Linked DNA regions of Oreochromis niloticus. The protein of the gene in region 3 purifies or fractionates together with the protein of the main gene of each other region. This does not show direct contact. Links are inferred from orthologs where the notes say so. Each region holds a gene or a part of one and is shown on either strand. Other genes may lie near its edges.

What was found. The genes of interacting proteins can lie anywhere in the genome.
Region 1: the proteins of rsrp1 (region 3) and cpsf6 purify together in Homo sapiens (affinity purification with mass spectrometry; 3 studies listed by BioGRID and IntAct, with this or other methods). This does not show direct contact. The link is inferred for Oreochromis niloticus from reciprocal best matches to the Homo sapiens genes RSRP1 and CPSF6.
Region 2: the proteins of rsrp1 (region 3) and psme3 purify together in Homo sapiens (affinity purification with mass spectrometry; 3 studies listed by BioGRID and IntAct, counting the BioPlex papers as one, with this or other methods). This does not show direct contact. The link is inferred for Oreochromis niloticus from reciprocal best matches to the Homo sapiens genes RSRP1 and PSME3.

What each region holds. Positions count from the first base shown.
Region 1 is NC_031981.2:10,572,518-10,580,502, forward strand, and holds the start of cpsf6 (cleavage and polyadenylation specificity factor subunit 6), read right to left. Parts: upstream 3,008-7,985; 5' UTR 2,912-3,007; coding exon 2,852-2,911; intron 1,270-2,851; coding exon 1,060-1,269; intron 973-1,059; coding exon 869-972; intron 604-868; coding exon 458-603; intron 177-457; coding exon 1-176. Other genes in the region: cacna2d4a (voltage-dependent calcium channel subunit alpha-2/delta-4), read right to left, coding at 6,019-6,114, 7,349-7,431, 7,798-7,913. UniProt on the Homo sapiens protein: Component of the cleavage factor Im (CFIm) complex that functions as an activator of the pre-mRNA 3'-end cleavage and polyadenylation processing required for the maturation of pre-mRNA into functional mRNAs.
Region 2 is NC_031973.2:6,504,329-6,512,206, reverse strand, and holds the start of psme3 (proteasome activator complex subunit 3), read right to left. Parts: upstream 3,008-7,878; 5' UTR 2,878-3,007; coding exon 2,836-2,877; intron 2,337-2,835; coding exon 2,304-2,336; intron 1,705-2,303; coding exon 1,642-1,704; intron 505-1,641; coding exon 400-504; intron 302-399; coding exon 253-301; intron 182-252; coding exon 63-181; intron 1-62. Other genes in the region: nbr1a (NBR1 autophagy cargo receptor a), read left to right, coding at 3,158-3,259, 3,610-3,672, 3,770-3,788, 4,802-4,824, 6,972-7,154, 7,360-7,437, 7,541-7,764. UniProt on the Homo sapiens protein: Subunit of the 11S REG-gamma (also called PA28-gamma) proteasome regulator, a doughnut-shaped homoheptamer which associates with the proteasome. 11S REG-gamma activates the trypsin-like catalytic subunit of the proteasome but inhibits the chymotrypsin-like and postglutamyl-preferring (PGPH) subunits.
Region 3 is NC_031983.2:27,287,324-27,295,117, forward strand, and holds the start of rsrp1 (arginine/serine-rich protein 1), read left to right. Parts: upstream 1-4,787; 5' UTR 4,788-5,022; intron 5,023-5,635; exon of another isoform or gene 5,636-5,639; 5' UTR 5,640-5,680; coding exon 5,681-6,287; intron 6,288-6,376; coding exon 6,377-6,534; exon of another isoform or gene 6,535-6,939; intron 6,940-7,159; exon of another isoform or gene 7,160-7,597; coding exon 7,598-7,672; intron 7,673-7,755; coding exon 7,756-7,794.

The sequences.
Region 1 (7,985 bases), on a different chromosome or scaffold from region 3:
AGGAAGGTGTGGTGGAGGACCCCCAGGCCCTACAGGACCAGGGAAGCGGTCTCCTCCGGGGCCAGGTGGTCCGGGGAACCTGCCTCTCCCTCGGCTGCCCATGGGGAAACCGCCACGGGGTCCAGCACCAGGAGGACCAGCCTTTCCTTCCCCAGACATCTGGCCTGTCTGGGTACCTGTGAAAAGATAAAATATAAACTCATTTCATACGTAATCATTAATCAATATGTGCACCTGGCTAAGAGACAGAAACAAGAATAAATTACATGTATGAGTTCATACATATGCTAAGATTAAACACGGGTCATGTAACATATGTGATGTATTGGGTAGTCAAATATATTCATCTTCAGAATAACTCACACATTCCAACATGTGCAAATTTTATACATAACTTCCTTTAACCAGTACTGATCTCTTCGGATAAATAAACCATGTGCACACTTGCCCTACTTACTTTTGCGTGATTGCATTTCAAACTGGCTGAGGGACTGCTTGTTGCATGGTGTGACAATGGGATTCTGACCATGGAGCTCCCTCTTTGACAGCAGCTCCATTAACTTTCTGGAGGATGCCTCTGAACCAACACACACCAGAGCAAACCTGGAAAACACACGCAGAGGGCATACAGTCAGATATTTGATTGCATAAACGTCAATGCACTGTGAAATTCTGAGCTGATAGTAATATCTAAACAAGGTCACTGACAATGAAGAATATATTTATGTCTTTAGAAACAGCAGCTTTGTGGTAATATAATCATAAAACTGACTCAGTGTGATCCCACCCTGTACTCCTAATACGAAATACTTAACATAGTCTTTGACTTAGTGCAACTGTTACAGAAATAAAATAATAAAGACCTCACCCTTTTGACTGGCCATTGGCTCTATTTTCAAAGAACTTTATCTCCAGCACATCTGTGATGCCTATCACCCGGATAGCTTCTGTCAAGTCCTCATCTGTTGTCCACTGCAAAAACAACCCCAAGCAAAATGGCATCACGTATGGATCACAATTAAATTTGTCAGTCCAATTTTTAGACAATCTGACACTCACCCATGTGAGGTTTCCTATGTACAGGGCTATTCTTTTTCCAGTGTAGGTGTACACCACGTTGGGCGGGGCGCTTTTCCCTCCTTCTGTGCCACCTGGGGCTGGCAGTGAATCCAAGTAATCCCGGTCTTCTGGAGCATCACCATTATTGGCTGATGGGGATATTACATCATCATACAGGTCGATCTGATCATGAACTGGGTAGTCAGCTTCCTGTATTAAGAATGCAAGAACAGATCAGTGAAGCACTTAATATCTAGAGCTTGATAATGATTTGATGTTATTAACACCAAGGATATAATCTATCAACGTCTATGTCTGATCTGATTCTGAATCAGTTTCCTCACCAACACCAGAATAGCAAACCTATATTGGTTTTCACCATCACATTGTACAAAAAGGTTTCCTTGTGACAGGTGTGTAAAATTCCCACTGAATTGAGTCTGATTTAATTGTTTTTGCAATAGGCAGTTGTCAGAAAAACATACCAGCACTCATTAAAAAGATGTAATTCACTATTGAATCAATTCAAGTTCAATAACGCTAGGATCATGCAACTGCTTTATGCTGACCAGGAAAAGTCAATTTAGGGCTAAGCTTCACAGTGTATCCAGATTGTAGTATGATAATAATAATCATAAAGGTTACTTGTGGTGTTAAATATAGTATAGTTGGCAAGACTCCTAAAATGACCAAAGTGTTAGAAGATTTTTTTTTTAAATACTTCGATCACATTTTACAATCCACACATAAACACTGTGTAAAATGCCACAGATAGAAAGTATGGCTGATATAACTATCCTAATTTAAAGACACTGCAAAGCACAACGGCCAATTACTGATAATCTTAGAGGTTAAAGGAGATATTAGTCAACAAATGCTAAGGGTTCAAATTACAAGAGCATGCAGACGTAAATTAGGTGATGAAAGAAAAAGAAAAAACAGCATAAACTTGTGATCAGCAGACAGTCGCAAGCTTCGTAGAACTTATATCCGTATCAAATTAATTTGAAGTGGTTTATTTATGCACCCTGTGCGAAAACAATTGCTCCAATTGGGACAAATTAAAAGATTTGTCACAGAAAAGGGGCGTGTGGAGAAAAATATCTTCTGAATAGCCCCAACATTGACCTAATCCATGCTAACAACATGCCGTGTTTACTACACTATTCAGAGCCTACTAAGGTTGGGCGACTGGACGAGTATATCGACGATAGCCTATCGTCGATATATTCGCCTACCGTCAGTTATTAGCCTGCCCATTGTCGGTTGGAAAATGTTTACACAACCTTAGAGCCTAAAGGCGTTCGGTTTAGCTTAACACTTCTCTTTATCAACTTAAAAAATTAAAGACTTACTAGACATGACAGCGTGATAGCTGTGAATTAGTCAATGTCAGCTCGCTAACGAAAGTGCGTTTGTTTGGCTTGCTAGCCCGCCACTGGCGACCATGCCAAGGCCTGAACCCAAGCTACGCCGTGAAGACGGCTGCATTTAGCATTTACTTGAATAAATAACAACGCACATCACGAAACAACTGCAGCGTGCATATTAATCACTAAATACATGAAAAGTCATGTTAAATATCGACAACCCCACGAACAAACAAAAGTCTGCAAAGCACGCCGATAGCAGAGGCTGCAGGCTTGCAGCATGTTGAAAAGGCCTTGTATGTCAGAGAGCCTCTTTAGGCACAAAAGCTCGCCACTTTGTAGGTTACAATAAAGATAGCAGATTATACAGATATTAAAAAATTAACACCTATAAGCGAGGTAGGAAAATATGTATTTATTACCTGGCTAAACTCCTCCTCGACGTCGGCGTAGATGTCGATATGATCCACACCGTCCGCCATTTTCCTCTGACTAGCAGCTCTCACCGCCTGCGGTGCAGACTACAACGACGGTACACCACAAACAATGAAAAGAAGACAGGCAACGAGCGCCCCCGCTGGTTAATTTCATTCATTACAACATCACCCGTGTAGACCACGGGAAAATCTGTTGCAGTCATCACTGACTGTGAAACGAGTCCACCGTGTTAAAAAAGCAAAACTTGTTAAACAGTTTACATGTTTATACATCCTCTTGCTTTACTTATGATTTATAGCATGTGTGACATCAGTTTTAATTATATGGCCCATTTTTTATAGCCTTGAGACAATGTCCCACAATTTACTTGCTTTTGAGGATATTCTCAAGTCTGGCTTTTACCCAATTATATGAAGGGAAGACTTTCTATTACAATAAACTGCTTTTTGTTACAATGCTATAGTCATCAGGGAAAGTTCAAAGAGATCAAAACCTCCAGGGCTTTGCAGAGTTTGAATGATGATGTAAACTACCACAAAGAAAATGACACACAGAGAAATACAGTTGTCTTTTTTTTTTAGTTTCACACAGGAGAAAATATAATGTGAAGAGACACAGAATATATGTGTGTTATAACTATGCCAATCTACCGTCACATCCTTACTGAGAATACAGGAGATTATAAAGACTGTTGTGTGTGAGCCATAGGACAAACTCGTGCTTTTTTTTAATCGCTACTGTATTTATTCAACAAGAGAGCTTGGAATATATGGGGTACCCCCCTAGCATTGTTAATGTTTTCCACTTTGTCCTAGACAAACACAGTCTTTGCCCCATATTTAGTTTGTTGGGATCTGGTCACCAAAACTGCCAGGCTCTCGTATCGGAACCCCTGAGTGGTATAGATTTCAGAGTGAAACTCGGAACATTGCATGACCACATTTGTCTGCAGTTTACTTGCTTAGGTATTTAAATAATATCGAACGAGCTGTGAAGCAAGAGGCTGAATGCAGCAATTTTAGAACTTTTAATTGACAATTCACTAGAGAGAGAAAAAATAAAATAAAAATAATGCTAATATTGCATTGGTGGTCAGGAGGATGAATTAATCTTCCCTAAACCTGCCATGTGTCTACTGGTGGTATTTGAAACGGGTTCTTTTACACATCAAATTAAATATATTTTATTAGTATGAAGATGCAGTGATTAGCAGTGTCACTTGAAAGCAAGAAGCTTCCTCTTTTGTGCCTCCTGGTCCGCTGGGGCCTTTCTGTATAATGTTTTTATGTTTTCCATTTACCATTCTGGATGCTCTGGGATCCCGCCACAGTACTCAGACGTGCATGCTTAACTGGGGATTTTAAGTTGGGTGTGAGCGTAGATTTTCTTTGTTTTCTGTCTATCTGTGCTAGACCTGTGATGAATTGACAGGATTTTATGCGTTCAAACCAAAGAACTTCAAAGTATGAATGAGTACAAAGCTTTGACTATCACTAAAATTCCAGTCAGAGTCATTTCTTTTATATATATTTAAAAAAAAATAAATAAAAAAATCTCAGGTTGTCAGTAGACAGAACTGAAGGATTGAATCCACTTACCAGTAAAGTCCTAATTTTGATAACTGTTATCAATTTGCCTTTATGTGGCCAAAATAAATTACTCAAGTTTTTTTTAAAGAAGATAAACAACAAAACCCAAATTTATAATTTTATTTACACAGTACAAATTAGGGCCACAGACGTGGTAAAGCCAACCCGTGGAGAGTATAAACAAAATCAGGACAGCTAAATAATTAACTCTCAGAAACTTCATAAGTTTAACTTCTATGCGTGCTTTGAGAGACAATTAAAAATGGGTGTAGAAAAGGCTACACTGACACTCAGAGCCAAAAATGCATTTAAGTGCTCAGCAAAAAGTGCAAAATATAAAACATACAGGCAAATATATACAAAAATATCATATGCAGTTAGTTTTATAGTGCTAATTGACACTGAGATTAAATTTTTATTATTGTGACATTTTATTTTTAGTGACTGAGCTATAATAGCGAGCATTGCTATAAAAGTTACATTTTAAATGAAGAAAAAAAGCCTTAAGAAGAGCGTTCATAAACCATATTTTTAAAAAAAACTATAAATATTTTTTTAATTGCAAAAACATTTGTAGAATTTTTCAAAAATGTAAATCCTTGGTGCCAAATACATTGCAAATGCATGTATGCATTGTTTTAATGTCAAAAGTTAGATATTACCTTTTTAGAGTGTGACGATCTTCAGCTCATTTATTATTTCAGCATTTACAGCCCATTAGCCAGACATACATAATTAGTTATGGTATGTAGCGAGAGACAAAAGACAAAAAAAGGCAGACAGATATGTAAAAATAATAGTCACAGAAACATACATTTATAGGATGGAAATAAAAAGTGAAAACATAGTTCCCGTAGAGGCTGACAACTCCATTCTATTTTACTTTATTGCATATTAATTTTACACAGATAATTAGCCATTGAGTCCAATTGTGCCTACTTTACCTTATCCAGTGTCAACTTGTCCATTATTAACATGACTCATTAGCAACACAACAGTGTCTCCCTATATCGCCCTACTGCAGCCCTCTTCTCACTGGCTATTCTGCATTTATAAAAGTCTGCAGATAATGCATTAGATGTGTTTACTGGATGTATCCAACGCATATATAATATGCATGTGTGTGGATAAATATGCAGCTCATTAGAATATGGGAAGTGAATAATGCATGTTTTTCTCTTTTCACTTTTTCATGTTGTACCGTGTGAATCCTTAATTCTTGTTCATTAACACCCATCACAGCTAGCCGTCACCCTTCAGTCCCTTTTCGTTCAGAGATACAATGTGGAGCATAAGAAAATAACAAATGAAAAAAAGTATCCATGGCAACAACAGTACAGCAAGTTCTCTTTTTTGCAGCTTTTAGTTCAAATGTAATTCTCTGGAGTTAACCAGCAAATGCTCATAACATCCAAGGTCCTTCAAGAGAGATTGCGTCTGTCGCCTTTGTGAGCAAAATGTGCAGAATCTGTTCAGTAGTTAAAAAAAAAATCCACTCAAGGATTTCAGTTTTTGTCATCTTTTCCTTTATATGATGAAGCGTAAAAGAGCGAAGTTATCCGTCATCGGGAAACAAGTGCAGCAAAAAGGAGACACATGAAGAAAACAGAGGTTGACGGAGATATAAAAGAGGCTCCTCCACAGTCATCGGCGTTCTCCTGCAGAGACAAAGCAGAAAATTACTTCACCTGGCGAGTCTTCAATTTGCTACCAATCATTCATGAAAATGTGATGTATTCAAACAGAAAATCATTTTAGGGCACAGAAGCAGTTGAGTAAGACAAGAGAAGAATGCTGGTTTTATGCATGCATGTTTAAACACATGTGCAACCCCATTTTCAAAAACACGAAGATGCTCTGAAAAGGTAAATTAAAACTAGTACAAAGACAAAACATTGAATGAAATAAAGTAATGTGCAAAAGTCTTGAGTCAGAATAATGGGAAGGCCTTTGCTTATGACCACTTAAAAAATGACAACAAAGTCTGCCTCCTTGGAAACAAAATATAAAGAAATGAGTGGTGGCTCAAAACCTTTGCACAAAACTATGTTTTATTTATTCAATTATTTTATTATTTTTTAACATAATATATGCTCATTTAGAATTTGATGCCAGTAACATGTCTCAAAATGGTCAAGCCAGACAACAAAAATACTAGAAAAGTTCTATAATATCTCACAGCTAATGAGGTCAATTAGTAACATGAATAGGTGTAAAAAGAGCATCCTAGAGACCTTTTCATCAGTAAAGATAGGGAGGGTTGAACAGTCTGGGTGATTCAATTAAGAGCAATGTTTCATAATGTAAATTTGCAGAGAACTTGTGGTTTTTTCATATACAGTAACATATCTTTAAATAGATTCTGAAAAACTAGACAAAGCAGAAAACCAACACTGAATGCTCTTCAAGCTCTGCATTGAAAACACAGATTATTTAGTCAAAATTGCTGCATGGAAGTGGGAACACTTCTGATAACCTTCATCAGAGAACACACTTTGTAGCTGCATTTACAAATAAAAAAAAACAGTAGTTTGCCCACAGTGAGAATCTGTCACCAAATAAAAGCATTTGGTGCACTGTAAAAGAAAAAGATAACAAAAGAGGCCCCAAGCTGCAGAGCAGCTGAAACCCTACATCAACCAACAATGGGAATTAATTTCTCTTTCAAAAGTGCAGCAACTGATCTCCTCAGTTCCAAAACATTTACAGTGGTTGTCCCTGCATTTTTTTGTTTGTCTGTTTTTTTGCAGGCATCAACTTAAGAAGGAAAAAACGCTCAGCTTTGACATTTGAGAAGTTTTTATAGTACTTATTATTGTAATATTTATGCTGTAACAGGGTTGTATGAATATACGTGTTTTTTGATGTGTCGTGCTGTGATGAAATTCTGACCTGCGCGTGATAAGAGTGACAAGACTCGGGGCGTCTGCGAACCTTTTGAGACTTCATCCTGTCACACTTCACTGACGAGTTATGTACAGCAGGGTCAAGGAGCAGCAACAGAAACATAGTATGGTTTTCCTGCACGCTCATTCAAATATTACGACTAAAGACACGCAGTATAAACATTTCAAAGATATGACATGGCAGGCCCACACCTGGAATCTAACTTAACAGTACGGTTGGTTGAGTCAGTTAAAGAAACACAACGATTTAGGCCAGCATGCTTAATTAATACACATGTTAGAATAAAGAGTCTGTACTGTAGGTACTGTAGATCTACAAAGTGTGCCCAGATTGACTCAGTGTATAGGCAGGGTGATGCTTCAGTTAGGTTAAAACAAGTAAACTTTATGTGAACATGATTCACGTGATCCATGAATATAAACATCACAGGATATATCTGACTTCTTCTGGCTCCAGGGTGATGGGTGGGTACTGTTTGGAGCAGTCACAGTCTGCTTGCACCACCAGCATCAACAGGTTGCTCTCTGGTATCTGCTGCACTACAAACATCCTGACATAAACAAAAAGGAAAAGTGTGAAATAGACAAAAACACAGAAAGACAACCTTCTATGTAATATAATG
Region 2 (7,878 bases), on a different chromosome or scaffold from region 3:
ATGCCAAATGGCCAAAATAACATTACTTAGATAAGATAAGAGACTTTAGAGCTCTTACTTACTGTGTTACATTTTTCTATGAGTGTCCTGATCTCGGGCTTGACCTTTTCAATAAGATCAACAAGGTTCGCATTGCTCTTCATCATCCCATCAGGCATGGCGAAGACCTTGGTGCCAGTCACTGATAAAGGAGTAAAAGTTAAAAATACATAAAATACAGACTAAATATTCAGCCAGCGAAACTGTACTTACCCATGTCAACCCCACTTCCATCCTCCATCTTCCTCTTTTTGGCATTTTGCTGTGAGAGAGATGCAACAGTTACAAACAATTTCTCATCCTTACCTTACCAACAGTTACTGTAACAATACGAAATCTAACTCTAAAATGGATCCTCACCGCTTCTAGCCCATCGTGGAGATTTGAGAACAAGATGGGATCTGGCACTGGCAGATTTATGTCTGAGTGAATTTCCTTCAGTTCAGTGATGTTTATGCTTGGATCCTGAAAAAAACAAAGACAAGATTAGTTGTCAAATGCCAAAATATACAGACATGATAAGAAGAAAGCACATCTGCTGCCAAATCTAATCTATTTCACATGTCAGGACATCAAAAAATCTGATCTAGCAGGTTTGAAAAATGGCTGAATACAAACACAGATGAAAAACATATGACTTATGTAGTGACATATGAAGTCTTGGACACTACTATGTCATTACGTAGTCAACAATAACCAAGCCAAAGGACAGAAGCAGTGTGAGGAAAAACTAAGAACACACCATGATTCAATAGCTTGCAGAACCACCTTTAGCAGCAACAACCTGAATAGTTTTCTGTATGATATCAGTCTCTCACAGGAGGAATTTTGGCCCACTCTTTATATGCTACTTCACTTTATTAAGGTTTGCAGGTGTTTACTAATACACAGTCTCATAAATCCCTGTCACAGTATTTAAACCCAGCTGGAGTCTGGACCTTTCTGGAAAACAGCAAAACACCTTACTCTCTCTTTTTCACTCAATCTGTTGAAGATCATTGTCTTTTGTGACCCAACTTTAGCTGTTAAACAGATGGCCTCACATTTGAATCTACTTTAGGACAGAGAGGAGTTCATGGTCGACTCTGTGACTGGAAGGTGGCCAGGTCCTGTGGCTGAAGAGCCTTCTCCCAGCAAATCTTACAAACAAGCCACACTAGTCCAGTCTTTAATTGTGCTGTCATGCACTTTAACATTCTAACTGAGGCCTGTAAAGTCAGAGATATAACTCTTACAAAAATTACCTCTGAACATTGTACAGTTTGACCTTGGGGGTGAGTTAACTGGAGCATCCACACCTGTGATTACTAACACCCATTTCAATGTTTTCCTCTTGTGAACAACCTCCCTCACTGAAAAATGATGGACTTCAAATTTTTTGCTTTTATAGAGATGTTTATGCTTGCTGATGACCAGTTCGTCAAGTGAATTTGTTTAACAGCACCTGGCTGTTACTATTTTAATTCTGGACAATTGATAAAGACTGACTAACAGATAATGAACTTTAAAGCCAAATAATACATGGGAAGGAATGAGTTTCAACTATCCACAAAGATCTAAAATTATGCCAACTTGATTTAGCTGAATGTACAATTAACTGACCTTGAGGAAATGGTCAAGTTCCAGTAACTTCTTTGGGAAAAAATTGGCGACTAGATCCTCTGCCTGGAAGAAATGTGCATTGTTAGTGGAGTCTTGGACATCACAGTCATAATAGGTGTGTATGAAACTGTGCTCACCAAATATACACATTTAGCTATACATATATAGAAACATCTATATCTGTGAGTTTCCACACTACCTACAAATCAGAAGGTTGGTAGACTGATTCCCCGTTCCTCCAGTCCATGTGTGAATGTATCCTTTGCCAAGATACTAACCCCAGTTGTCCCCAATCCATCAACTGGGGTGTGTGAGTGGGTGAGTGTGTGTGAATGTCAGATAAACAGTGCTCAAGTACAGATAAAAATGCTGTTTGAATGTATGTGTATGTATGTGTGTGAGCAAGAGCGCGATTGGGTGAATGAGGCTTAATAGAAAGTGCTTTGAGTGCTCAAATAGAACAAAAGGTGTTACACCAGTACCACACTGGTTTTTCGCACTTTAGTAAGTTAGATTTAATTTACTCATAGCTGGACGCAGGCTTCCATTAAATAAAGAAGCAGACTCTACGCCTTAATTACAGGCCCCTAAAGGCTAGCTATGAGCCAGGATAAACTCCTGCATGTATATATTTTAATTTACAACGTAAGACAGAGACTTACTTCTGCGGTGATACGTTCCTTGAAAGCAGCGACCTGTAAACACAAACAGATGTACGAGAGTTTGAATACCAAGTTAACAAAAAACACTTTAAGACAGTAAACTTTATTTTGGTCCAGTTTTAAACACATGACCGGTTCCTCAGTGTGAGAGACAACCTCTAGCATTGGTAACTCAACGCCGGTGTGAACGGCAGCTGGCTGAGTTAGCTAACTTGGTAGCTCAGGCCTTCGTCAGTGCATGTGGTCGTAGTAGCAGCAACCATTTTCCCAGCACAGGGGGCTGTAAATCAAACTTTATCTATATCCCCGTTACGTTTAGCGCCACCCTGACACCACACCTGGGGGAAGGTTTGACAGGTGTACTGCAGTGGGCGGGAAACAAGAAACCGGTTAGCCGGTAGCTGCTGTTAGCCTGGCCTTATCCGAGCTCTCACATCATGCTACTAAATGTGGCTAACATGCTAGCAAAGAACATGGCAACAACAACACGCAGTATAAACTCAACTGGAATTCACAAAAGGCCAAACCTCACCTTGGTTTTAATTTCACTATCCAGCTTGAGGAGTGAAGACATCTTATGTAGTCGAATATGAGCAGAACGATTGTCCCAACAGCATTAAATTCACCTGTAAACGTGTGGCTTATCACTTGTCTGCCACACTTCGTGAGCTTAAAGATGACGACAATAAACATGCGACGGAGGCGGTGTTGCAACTGCGCTTGCGCGCAACGTCACCGTCTTTTTCTAGACGCAGCTGACGATGTAAACAAGAGAAAACATCCGAGGGCAGCGGGGCTCACACAGGCCGGGTTTCACGCAAATGATAGCCATTAAGCACCGATAGACGGCGGACATGGGGCTCCCTGTTACTATTAAAGTCAATTTCCGGGGGAACGTGAAGAGGTTTCTGGCTCAGGATATGGATAAATTGGAGTGGGAAGCTGTTGAAGTCTGGGTAAGCAGCTAGCAGAGTCTTGGCTAAACGCTGGCGCAGTTTAGTGAAAAAGTAGGCCTAGACGTTTTGGCCTAGACACATAAACAGAGCTCCCAAAGGATAGTCGATCTTGTTACGACAATAACAATAATGTATTTGTAAATAATATTTTTTTAAGCCAGCCGGAGCTTTACAAAATATAGGCACACAAGTGAGGATGTCCTCAGTTTGATTTAAGGTTACTACATATGTATAATACAGTATCCAGCTGTGGAGGTCTTTCTCACTGACTCAGTCATGGTTCATGTTTTTCCTAACACGTGTGAGGAGAAAAACTGAACTGCTCTCAATTGTTCTGCGTTACTTTTCAGATCAAAGCATCATTTGGGATCAACCACTTTCAAGTGAAATACTTTGATGAAGACAATGAAGAGGTAAGGGATTGTGTACATTGTAGATTTTCAGTGGTTATGTTTTGGCAGAATCCCAAGTTCAGTTTTTAATTTTGATCTCATTTACCTTACATTTCAGATTTGCATAAACAGTCAAGGTGAGGACAATATTTAATTGCTTGTTTTCTATATAATTTATGTTGAATATGTTTAGGTTTAGGTCTTCCTTCAAAGGTAAATCACCAGGACTTTGTTAAAAATATATGTAGCCAGCATTTGTTTAAAGCTTGGTTTAATATACTCAAAATTAAAATACATGTTTGTTTATCAGGTGGCTGAAAAATAACATGAAAAGGCACAAACCTCTGTTAACTAAGATAACAAAGACTCTTTTCCCTAACTACATCCTAACCCATTATGCTTACATACATAGTCACCCCCTAATGACCTGTTTGATCCAGGAAAGCTGTCCAACTGATAGATTCCTAACCTGATATGGACCTATGACAGATAATATTGGCATTCATAACATGTATTGTAGAAATTATGTCAAGTCCTGTCTTCAGAGAATTTGCTTTGAATTTTGCTAAATACAGTGGACTTACCAACAGCTAAACTTATGCTGAACCATTGAAAAGCCATGCAAAACATGTGGTCCAGAATTAACACAAAGGTGTTAAACAGAGACAAAACGTAAAACAGCAAGGGCCTAGAAGACAACAGTGGGGTGTCAAGATCAAAGACATTTAAATGCACAGGTAAAACAAATGGGTAATTCAATTGTAGGCTCAAAAACTCCATGGGGTAGGCAACTGCCTTTTGGTTACGGGGATTGTGATCAACATCCTTTTCTGCATTAATTATAAAAAATGTGTTTCGAGCAAACCGGTTTTGTAAGCATTGTGTTGAATATTCACAGCTTGGCCTGCAGGACATGTAGCATGATATGCATAACAGTAAACAATGATGTGTGAAGTCAAGCTGTGTCTTTCAAGTTGTTAACTGGTCTTTAAAATACATTGCTAGAAAGTTATTACATTTGGAACCTAAACTTTTTGACCCTTACTCCTGGTGTACCCGTACATGAAAATATCAAAATACCAGGAAAAAATACAGATTTGAGCCACAAAATGTGAAGTTATTTATTGTTTGTTTGTTTTTCCCCCCACAGATGAATATGAAGAAGCCATCAAGGTACTGTAGCAGTGCTGGGTTTAAACAGAAAGGACAGAGTGATAGCTTTTGTTACTGTAGAGCAGTGATTCTCAAACTTTTCAAAAAGAGTACCACCTCATAAAATATATGGCTCTTAAAGTACCACCCTTATGACCGACATTAAAGTACAGTGGTATAGGGTTACTTAACACCATATACAGTTTACACGAGACAATTTTATTTATTATATGAATGTTATTTATTTTAACTGTCATGAACAGGATGTGACAAGTGATAATAATAACAACTGTACTGCATTAAAACATTCACAGCAGGTGGGATATCCAATCTTTAATGATGACGTGATGAATCCTGCTTCTGGGTCTAAACTACTCTGCGTTTATTAAGGCTGTTGTGTTTTTGTTGTGTATCTTGTTCTATTTAATCTGAACAAGCCCCTAAAAATGGCATTGATCACTGTCAGCCTCTCTCGGTTATTATCACCCCTGTTCATTTTAAAGCTCAGTTTTTAAAACCTTACCATGTAACTACAGCCCAGGCCATGCAGCGGTATATAGGGCTGGGCTATATCATACTGTTCACGGTAATACCGGTGTAATTTTGGGCAACGATAGGAAAATGAAATATCGCAATAGAATATGGGTAAAACGCGCATGCGCAGTGCCTATGTTTACATACGCACATGGCGGCGACGCAGAATGAGAAGAGCGAAAGTGGATCTTTAAATGAAACGGATGAACCAGAACTGGTTTGTAAAAATGCTGCAACTTCAGTGGTGTGGAACTGGTTTAGCTTTCGTCAGTCAGATACACAACAAAGCACTATTTTTGGTAGCGCATGCTAGTGGGCCGTCGTTATTACCATGTTGTTTGGAAAATACGGCACACTTAAAATCAATCCTTTGATTTTTCTGAAAATCGACAGTGTCCCTTATAATCCCGTGTGCCTTATGTATGAATTCTGGTTGTGTTTACTGACCTCGAAACGATTTTATGTACATGGCGCTCGAAAATCTGTCAAATGTTTTAGTACGACTTTGCTAAGCTACGAACCCGCACCGGTTGATGGATTGTCGGAGCATTACGGCTATCGTAGGCAGAAGCCTCGCGGAGTGATACGTACTGTGCTTCAACATAATATTACCATATTGTGTGTGTATAACCTCTTTTTAAGTTTTGTGGATATTATACATGGTTTTGCTGAGGATATGTCGGCCGATTTCCACTGGAAATGCCTTTTGGTTAAACTGTCAGCAAGGAATTTGCACTGTTACATTTTTATATAACTTTAATGCACATAAAAAAATAGCTGCTTGTTTAAGTGAAAATACATTGATGGTGTTTTTTGCACTAATAAAGTTGTGGAGTTGTAAAGTATTTTGTCTAGTGTCAATTATATCGTCAGTTATATCGTTATCGCAAATTTTCAAATGTATATCGTGATAAATATTTTTGGTCATATCGCCCTGCTCTACAGCAGTATATTAATGGCTAACCTCATATTGTGGATGGATTATCTCAGTTGTTCTCCTGACTGAAGTTTGGTCCGTTTACAGCATCCTGCCGATTGCATTTGTCCCTAACCATCGGGAACCCTCACGTTAACTTTTATTGAGTGGAAAAAAGTTAGCATTCATCCTCCAGCTTCACTGTGTTTATATTATGCTAACATAGACGTATTGCTAGCCAGCACGTAGCACATTATTATATACCAGCTAGCCCAACTTCAGTAACCCTACAAACGTCACTCCTGTTTAGTTTTCTGTCTTCATTTATGTTGGAAGTGACAGCAGAGCTGTTTGAATTTTTCTGAAATCTCTCAGTCAGAACATGGCATATTATTTAATCGTAAAAAAAAAGGAGACTTCACATGTACCACTAGAGGGAGCCCACGTACCACCAGTGGTATGCGTACCACAGTTTGAGAACCACTGCTATAGAATATATCCTTACATAGAGAACCTGCACCGTAAAACTACACTTAAGACATAAACAACACAACTGTGTCCTTAATTAGACTACCAAAGCTATAGAAGAACAAACAGTGAAAATAAGAGAATATATGTGCAGTATATGTACTATGCATCTGTACACACATCACGTTGCTACTGTGTGTTCTCATGTCACTTGACTGTGGTTTGCATTCTGTGCTAATTCTCCATGCAGAGTGCAGAGAAGCAGGGAAACCAGTTGCACATGAATGTGTACAAGATGAAAGGACAGGCCTGTGGGGGCCCACTGAAGACCGAGGTGAAGGAGCTGAAAGGAGACCTTCGACCCGCTCCTCCTTACCCCTCAAGGGTTAAAACAGTGGACAAAGGCACGCAGGTCACCCCTGAGCGAGAAGCTGTAAGTAATTCTACTCTTCCCCCCCAACTTTCTTCTCCCTATAGATTCTCACATGTGCAGTGCCTTTGAAATCATTTTAATAAAGTCAGTGCCTCGAATCAGTTAAGTTTTTTTTACCTGTTGGGGAAAAAGTTTGTGCTTATTTATTAAAAGCTAAAATCTCTGATTTTGTCAATTAACTGAAGAATGGTGTATTTTCATGCAGGTAGCAGTAAAAGATAACAAGGGGAACAAACCAGATGATGAGCCCCCTCCTATGTGGTTTAGATCATACATGGAGAAGGTAAAATTTAACTGCTGCTGTGAAGCAGTATTTTTACATGGAACGTTTTATTTTTTAATTGGCGATTAAATAAAATACTGTGCTTTCCTTCTGTTTTTCATAGTTTAAGGATGAGGTGGTAAAGGAGGTAGTGGAAAGAATGTGCAGCGACTTTTCTGTCCAGTGTTGTACCCACAAATCCCCTGAAGGTCCCCCTGAGGCAATTGGGGCTATTGGCGGTATTATGGGACCCAAACCAGGCCCCTCCACCTCGAATGGATCCCTTGGCTACACCCCAAACTGCAGCAGCTGCAACAAACTCACCTCTGAAGGAGCCTACAAATGCAGGTATGCATGAAATTAACTCTAGTCATCACAACAATGTTTTTAACGATTTTTACATGTTTGTTGTTTTTTAAGTAGCTGTGTAAATGTTTACATTAATGTTTTTGTTATTTTGCC
Region 3 (7,794 bases):
TGTGCAGGTGACTATTACTGTGCATAATTATTAGGCAACTTAACAAAAAACAAATATATACCCATTTCAATTATTTATTTTTACCAGTGAAACCAATATAACATCTCCACATTCACAAATATACATTTCTGACATTCAAAAACAAAACAAAAACAAATCAGCGACCAATATAGCCACCTTTCTTTGCAAGGACACTCAAAAGCCTGCCATCCATGGATTCTGTCAGTGTTTTGATCTGTTCACCATCAACATTGCGTGCAGCAGCAACCACAGCCTCCCAGACACTGTTCAGAGAGGTGTACCGTTTTCCCTCCTTGTAAATCTCACATTTGATGATGGCCCACAGGTTCTCAATGGGGTTCAGGTCAGGTGAACAAGGAGGCCATGTCATTAGTTTTTCTTCTTTTATACCCTTTCTTGCCAGCCACGCTGTGGAGTACTTGGACACGTGTGATGGAGCATTGTCCTGCATGAAAATCATGTTTTTCTTGAAGGATGCAGACTTCTTCCTGTACCACTGCTTGAAGAAGGTGTCTTCCAGAAACTGCCAGTAGGACTGGGAGTTGAGCTCGACTGCATCCTCAACCTGAAAAGGTCCCACAAGCTCATCTTTGATGATACCAGCCCAAACCAGTACTCCACCTCCACCTTGCTGGCGTCTGAGTCGGACTGGAGCTCTCTGCCCTTTACCAATCCAGCCACGGGCCCATCCATCTGGCCCATCAAGACTCACTCTCATTTCATCAGTCCATAAAACCTTAGAAAAATCAGTCTTGAGATATTTCTTGGCCCAGTCTTGACGTTTCAGCTTGTGTGTCTTGTTCAGTGGTGGTCGTCTTTCAGCCTTTCTTACCTCGGCCATGTCTCTGAGTATTGCACACCTTGTGCTTTTGGGCACTCCAGTGATGTTGCAGCTCTGAAATATGGCCAAACTGGTGGCAAGTGGCATCTTGGCAGCTGCACGCTTGACTTTTCTCAGTTCATGGGCAGTTATTTTGCGCCTTGGTTTTTTGACACGCTTCTTGCGACCCTGTTGACTATTTTGAATGAAACGCTTGATTGTTCGATGATCACGCTTCAGAAGCTTTGCAATTTTAAGACTGCTGCATCCCTCTGCAAGATATCTCACTATTTTTGACTTTTCTGAGCCTGTCAAGTCCTTCTTTTGACCCATTTTGCCAAAGGAAAGGAAGTTGCCTAATAATTATGCACACCTGATATAGGGTGTTGATGTCATTAGACCACACCCCTTCTCATTACAGAGATGCACATCACCTAATATGCTTAATTGGTAGTAGGCTTTTGAGCCTATACAGCTTGGAGTAAGACAACATGCATGAAGAGGATGATGTGGACAAAATACTCATTTGCCTAATAATTCTGCACTCCCTGTACAGCTGTGTGGCTTGGGAAAATAAATTATAAGAATTTATTTGAAGTGTATTTTATTTGTGTCAGTTATTTTTTTTTTTTAACATTTTTTTAAATTGTAGTTCTAATTTTTTTAAATTTTTTGTCACTCAAAATAAGCGTATCGAGAATTTCAACCCCAGGGAGGCCAAGTATGGAGAAATGTCAGGAAAGAAAAATATCTGAAGAAAATAGAACATTTAATGATGCCCGGGCGGATTCATTGGCATTTACTTCTGATGAGAGTGGCCTACCAGTATGCCTAATTTGTGTAGAGAGATTGGCTAACAATAAAATGTCAAATGTCGCAAGACATTTCCAAAATAAACACACAGCCTTTGCTGAAAAATACCCGGAGGGAGAAGTGAGAAATAAAGCTGAAGAACTGAAGCGGAAAGCTGATCTGAGGGAAAATCAGTTGAAGAAGTGGATGAAGTCTGCAAATTCAACTATGCAAGTTTTGTGGCCGTTTAGGAAATAGTCAGGCATGGGAAGCTGTTCACGGAAGGAGAATATATGAAAGAATCATTCATTAAGATTTGAGAATGGGTCGTCAACACCTTCTAGAGTCTAGAAGGTGTTGACGACCCATTCTGGTTGAAGACCCAATGATCACTCCCATTCAGCTGACTGATAACATCTGAAATTCAGTTTCGCTGGACGGCCTTAGAGAATATAAGCAGATTTTTAATTGTATTTTGTCACTTTAACAGCCTTCCTGCTGAGAAAGACTTCAGTCATGCCCTGACATGCAACGGCAAAGTAAAAAAAAAAGCCAAAGATAAACCATTAAAATACAATTAAAAAAACCCCCCAAACTACTATTATTCCACTAAATACCATAAAACTTATTGGGTTTATGCTATTTAATGTGGAAATAGTGAAATTTGGCCTTTTTGTATTTAAAATAAGATTCTGTTTTCTGTAGGACAAAGTTTGGATAATTAGTTTCAAGGCCTTTTTTGGAATTTTGTTTTACAACAAACAACGAACGAGGACAAGCCAATGTGGGTGGGGCAGACAGTTACAAAGAGGGAAAGCTAAATGAATAACCGAAGAGAGATTCATTAGCAAAATAAAACACGGGCAATAGTGAGGGAAGATAAGGACGCTGATAGGGAGACATGAGAAACACGAGAAAGAGTATCAGTTACTCAACTCAACAAATACTCAACAAGAACCAAGAACAAAGACACATTTGATTGAGCTGAAGCTTGGCCCCCTACATGTTTAAAGGATTTTCTTTTTTTTTTTAAACACTTTATTTAAAGTATACATATAAAATTTACATACACATACAATTACATATACAAAACCATGATCACATACTACTCATTAAGGAAAAAGGAAAACAAGGAGGAAAGTCGAGCATCTGAGTCCACAAAGTACTTTTAAAACTTACAGTTTCAATACGTTCCAGGGGAAAACTTTTCCAAGTTTCAGGTCCATTGTTCTTCTTCTCCGCAGATCTGTAATGATATGTTTACTCACCACATCACTGCTTATCATCTTTTGTTCTATCACTCCTTTGGTACGGGTTTTCCAGATATGTGTGTTTATTACACACATTATTAACCAAAAGAGTCTCCTTTTGTCTTCACTCATTTTCTCTTTAAACAAACCATATTTAACTGCTTTAATGTTAACATCAACATCATACCCAATTTCTGTCATCTTCTGCCTTATCTTAGTTGTCCTATAACAGTCCAAAAGAAGATGTTCTAAGGTCTCATCTTCGTCACAGTTTATCATAGGGCATTTCATGGTGGTAACAAAACAACTCCACTGCACCACTGCCCTCACAGGGAGGCGCCCGAGCGAGATGAGCCATACCACATCTCTCATGCTTTCGGATAATAATTTGTCTTGTATATTTTTAACAACCAAAAGATTCTCGTCTTTATCTACGTACTTATATTGAATCATACCTTCATTTTTAATTTCATTAATTTTTTTATAAATATTTTTCGTATTATCTTGGAGAATATTTAGGCTATAATGTCCCCATTGACTTGATAAATCTCCAAACATAAGTCTGTGGTATGGTACGCCCGCTCTGGCCCTGCCTCTTTTTTTATGCCACAATTCTTCCTTCCCTCGAACCCACGGGGCACCCCGAGAAATTGCACTGTGAGTATTTTTAATAAAAGGGATTCGCAAAACAATTTTTAAGTCTGGGGCTCCCAATCCCCCGTGCTTCTTACTCTTGTGCTGACACGACCAGGATTCGAACCTGGCCCTCCTAGTCTCAAAGCGGCTACTCAGCTCACTGAGCCAAACTATTTCTTAAAGGATTTTCCATGCCTTATCTTAAAAGAAACCTTGACTGAAACAAGCAGCTATCAAAGTAAACCAATACCAAAAGACCTATAACAATATATACCATTATTTGAAAGGATGTGTTAATGCAAATCATTGCAACTCTTTTTTAGTCCAACAAAATGGATGAAGCTGAGTTAGAAGTGGGTTTGAACAAGTCTTAAATTTGTATTACCAAAATACAAAATAACTTCACTGATTCCTTTTTCCCCCTGTATAATAAGTGCAGTTAAATTTGAAGTATTATGTAATCCATCTGACCATGTAGCATTTACTGGCTGTTTATGTTGAGTATCAATGAAATGATATGGAGTCTAGTGATGATGTCTAGTCTATGTTTATTCACCACTCAGACATGTAATACAGCAATAAACTGCTGATGCTGTGGTGCATCTTTTATCCCTTTATCAATGATAATGCTGCAGATATAATGTAATCTTTCAGGTTTATGTGAATTTTCTAGAAACTGCAAACTGTCCCCCTCCCTTCACCTATCGCAGCATGCTCTGCTACTTGCTGCAGCAAGCTTTTGTTTAAATCATAATCATTGCAGAATTCATTTGTAAACTCTATCCTGCACATAATACACTGAATACATGCTACATACATAAAGGATCGAACTCCTCTATAAAGAATACTTAAATAATAGCGTTTACTGCATCTCAGAACTGTGTGTGCAGTTTTTTCTGCAGCACTCAGCCCTTCAAAACACAAATACCCTCAATGCGGCTTTTTCCTCTGTGGGGTTTATCGGTCGCCCTGAATGATTTGATTCTTTTCACCAACTGTATCAGTTACCCGCTAAATCGGTTTCTTTAACCTTGTTTTTAACCGATACTGATTGTAGAAACACAAATATGACACGATTCATAAACAACGATTAAAGGAAGAATGAATATTGCGGAGATTTAAAAAAGCAGAAGCCGCTAAAGGGAAGATAACTCGACTTATTTCGTTCCTAAAAAGAGTCGTTAAGCCCGCGAGTCATTCAAAAGAATCCAATCGTCGCGAACATCACGTGAATGGAAATTTCCAGAAGCGGGTTTAAAGCCCGCTGCGGTCTCCTCCCGCTTTCACTTGAGTGACGACGGTGGAAGAGTGAACTTCGAGGAAGACACTTCGGTTGCTTTTTTTCTGAGCTATTTGGCTGCAAACCAACAAATTCGAGCATTTTGAGCTCCTCTGTCAGCTTTTCGTCTTTTGATATACTTTTGGGGGGCAACAATTTGCCACAGCGTTTGCTCTTTATATCGACGTTAACAGAAAGAGTATCTTCGAGTTACAGTCGAACTGGTAAGACAAACAACGCCGTTGCCTTTATTTTATTTCCAAGCTAGAGTTACACGAGACGGTTTCAGATTTAAAAAAAACAAAGCTTGTGACTAATGCAAATTTAATGATGTGGATAAATTATTATTTGCTAATGTTGCTCAACGATAACCTTTAAAAGTTGTATTTTAACAACTGCTGGAGAAGCCTTAGCTCAGGGTTACGTCATCCTGGAACTTTCCAGTTCAAGCCGGTTTAGCCGGTGATGTTACACAACACTGCTTTACCGGGCTTTGCTCACTAGGGGCAGCACTGAGAGTGGTTATGCAACGGTTATGCTGTCTTTTAATAGATTTTAACGGCTGACACACGTTTCTAACACATAATGTAATTTAAGACATTCCTTTTATAAGTTGTTTAATGTTCGGGGAGCAGTTTTTAGTTTTAGCCTGCCTTGAAATGTGATATTACCAGTAGTCTGCAGTCAGACTTGCCAGTTATGCAGTTGCACTTTGCTCTTTAGGGGCATCATTGAGAAAGTGGTGGTAATGCCACATTAAAAAGACTGTTCCAGTAAAGTACTTAAAATTACTGAGGCATGCTGACCACCACTGACCAAGTGTTCTCATTGTTTTAGGCAGGTTTTCTTTTCTCTTTCCAGCCTTTGGCAGAAGACCAGACAATGGCCAAGGGAACAGGCTCTCATTCTGAAATGGCCCGTGCTCGCCAGAGCGATGGCCTCAATGTGATCTTTGACCAGAAAAGCCCCACCTCATCCCGATCCTACTCCAGGTCACGCTCCAGATCCCGCTCTGTGTCCAGGAGCAGCTATGACAGCAGCCGCTCCTCAGGCTCTTACAGAGGGCGGGATAGACGCAGACGCTATTACAGATCATCATCATCATCTTCTTCTTCATCGTCCTCATCATCTTCTTCCAGGAGCAGGTCCTCCTCTCGCTCCAGGTCACGCTCCTACCCCCGCTGCCACAGACGCTCCTCTTGCTGTCGATGTGACGACCACAGCAGAAGTAGCAGAGGTCGTTCTCGTCGTTCCCCACCCCGCCGTTACAGGGCCCACTCTCGCTCATTCAGCCGCTCACCAGACAGATACTCAAATCGCAGACGGTACAGGTCTCCCTCCAGGTCCCGCTCAAGGTCCCGATCCAGGTCATCCTTCCGCTGGAGCAGGTCCAGGGGCCGCGTGAGCCAGTATCGATGCAGATTTTCACGATCCCCATCCAGGAGCCGATCCCGATCTGGTGGACGTTCTGTCAGCCTCAGTCTGCATGGTAAGATCTCTAGTTGATATCAGTAGAAATTGACAGCAAGCAGTAATGATGCTCGTATTAAATGTCCTCATTTGGTTTGTGTCTAACAGATAAAAGGGAACTCCTCGAAGCTGCAAAGGCCAACGCCATGAAGATCCTGGGAGTGGAGAAACTGGAACTTCCTGAGAGTGTGAAACCAATCCTGTCAGAACCTAAGCGTGAGCCAGAGAAAAGGGTGAGACACGGCTCCGAAAAGACCGCAGCACAGGTGAGTGTCACAGGAAACGTTACCTGTATGTGGAACCTGCCATTCACTGAAGGCAAAGCTTTTAATACTCTAAAGACTTAGATGTGCTTTTTCTTTCCATATAAAGACGAGGGATATGAAGAAGCTTAGAAATATCTCCTGTGCACAGTAGTGCTCTCCTTTAACTCAATCATACGGTAGATGTTAACCCGTTGTTTTTAAATGATTCAGCACTCAGAGGTTATAGCTGTGACTATCTTGTGGTCTGTGTTGTTGACTTTCCTGTCTTGTTTAACCTTTTGGACCTTGAGGGGAACACATGCTCTCTATTTATTCCTGTCTTCATAGATGACATGACAGTGGTCTCCTTCACTCATCGGCACCTGGGATTAAAGGGCTGTCATGTGACTTGGGTGATAACAAAATGTACTCCTTGTAATCTTCACAATCTGCATTTTCTCCACTAGAGGCCAAATAAATGCAAATGTAGATGTCACATCTCACATTTTAGACACTTGCTAATTGCACACATAGATGCAGCCAACTCAGATGTGTTATTACTGATTCACCTTCATGTAGAAAGGAAGTACAAATTTGATATTACAAATGTATTTATGCTTGCAGTTGAAATGGGTCGTTTATTTAGCAGAGCCCTCCACTCGCTGATGGAGCGCACGTGTGTGGACTGCATTATAGAGCTAAAAACAGATGAAGAACTCCTCTCCATATACCAAAGATAAGTTGGTACACATGGCGTGTGCTAAGGGGCTGGGAAACCTGCGTGATCACCATTATGCAACTGTAGACAGAGAAGACTTATACTTTTTTTTTCTTTCTTTTTTTTTTTTTTCTATATAATTTGTTTTGTAGATTGTTTCAAGGTCTCACCTTGAAGCTTGGATTAAGTGTTTGGGGGTTGCATGAGAGCTGCAGTTTGTTGAAGATATACCTACCTACGCAGTAGAAAGGCTTAACTGTGTTAGAAGCAGTTCATCTAATATCACCTTCACAAACTGTGAAAGCTCACTCTGCCTCCAGTTTTGGGGCTTGTGAGTAACTACTTGTTGTCCTTGTTTTTGAACAGGGCACAGAGGAGGAGCCTGATGACGACTCCAGCCCGAGGTCATCCCAGAAAGGAAAAATCGCTTTCAGCATTAACGTAAGTGACCTAAACTAAAGTGAGTTTTCCCTGCTTCACACTGCTCTGAATCACTGGCGATAAAATAATTTGTTTGTTTGCAGAACTCTGTTGCTAAGCCAACATCGGCAGCTCCTCCTACA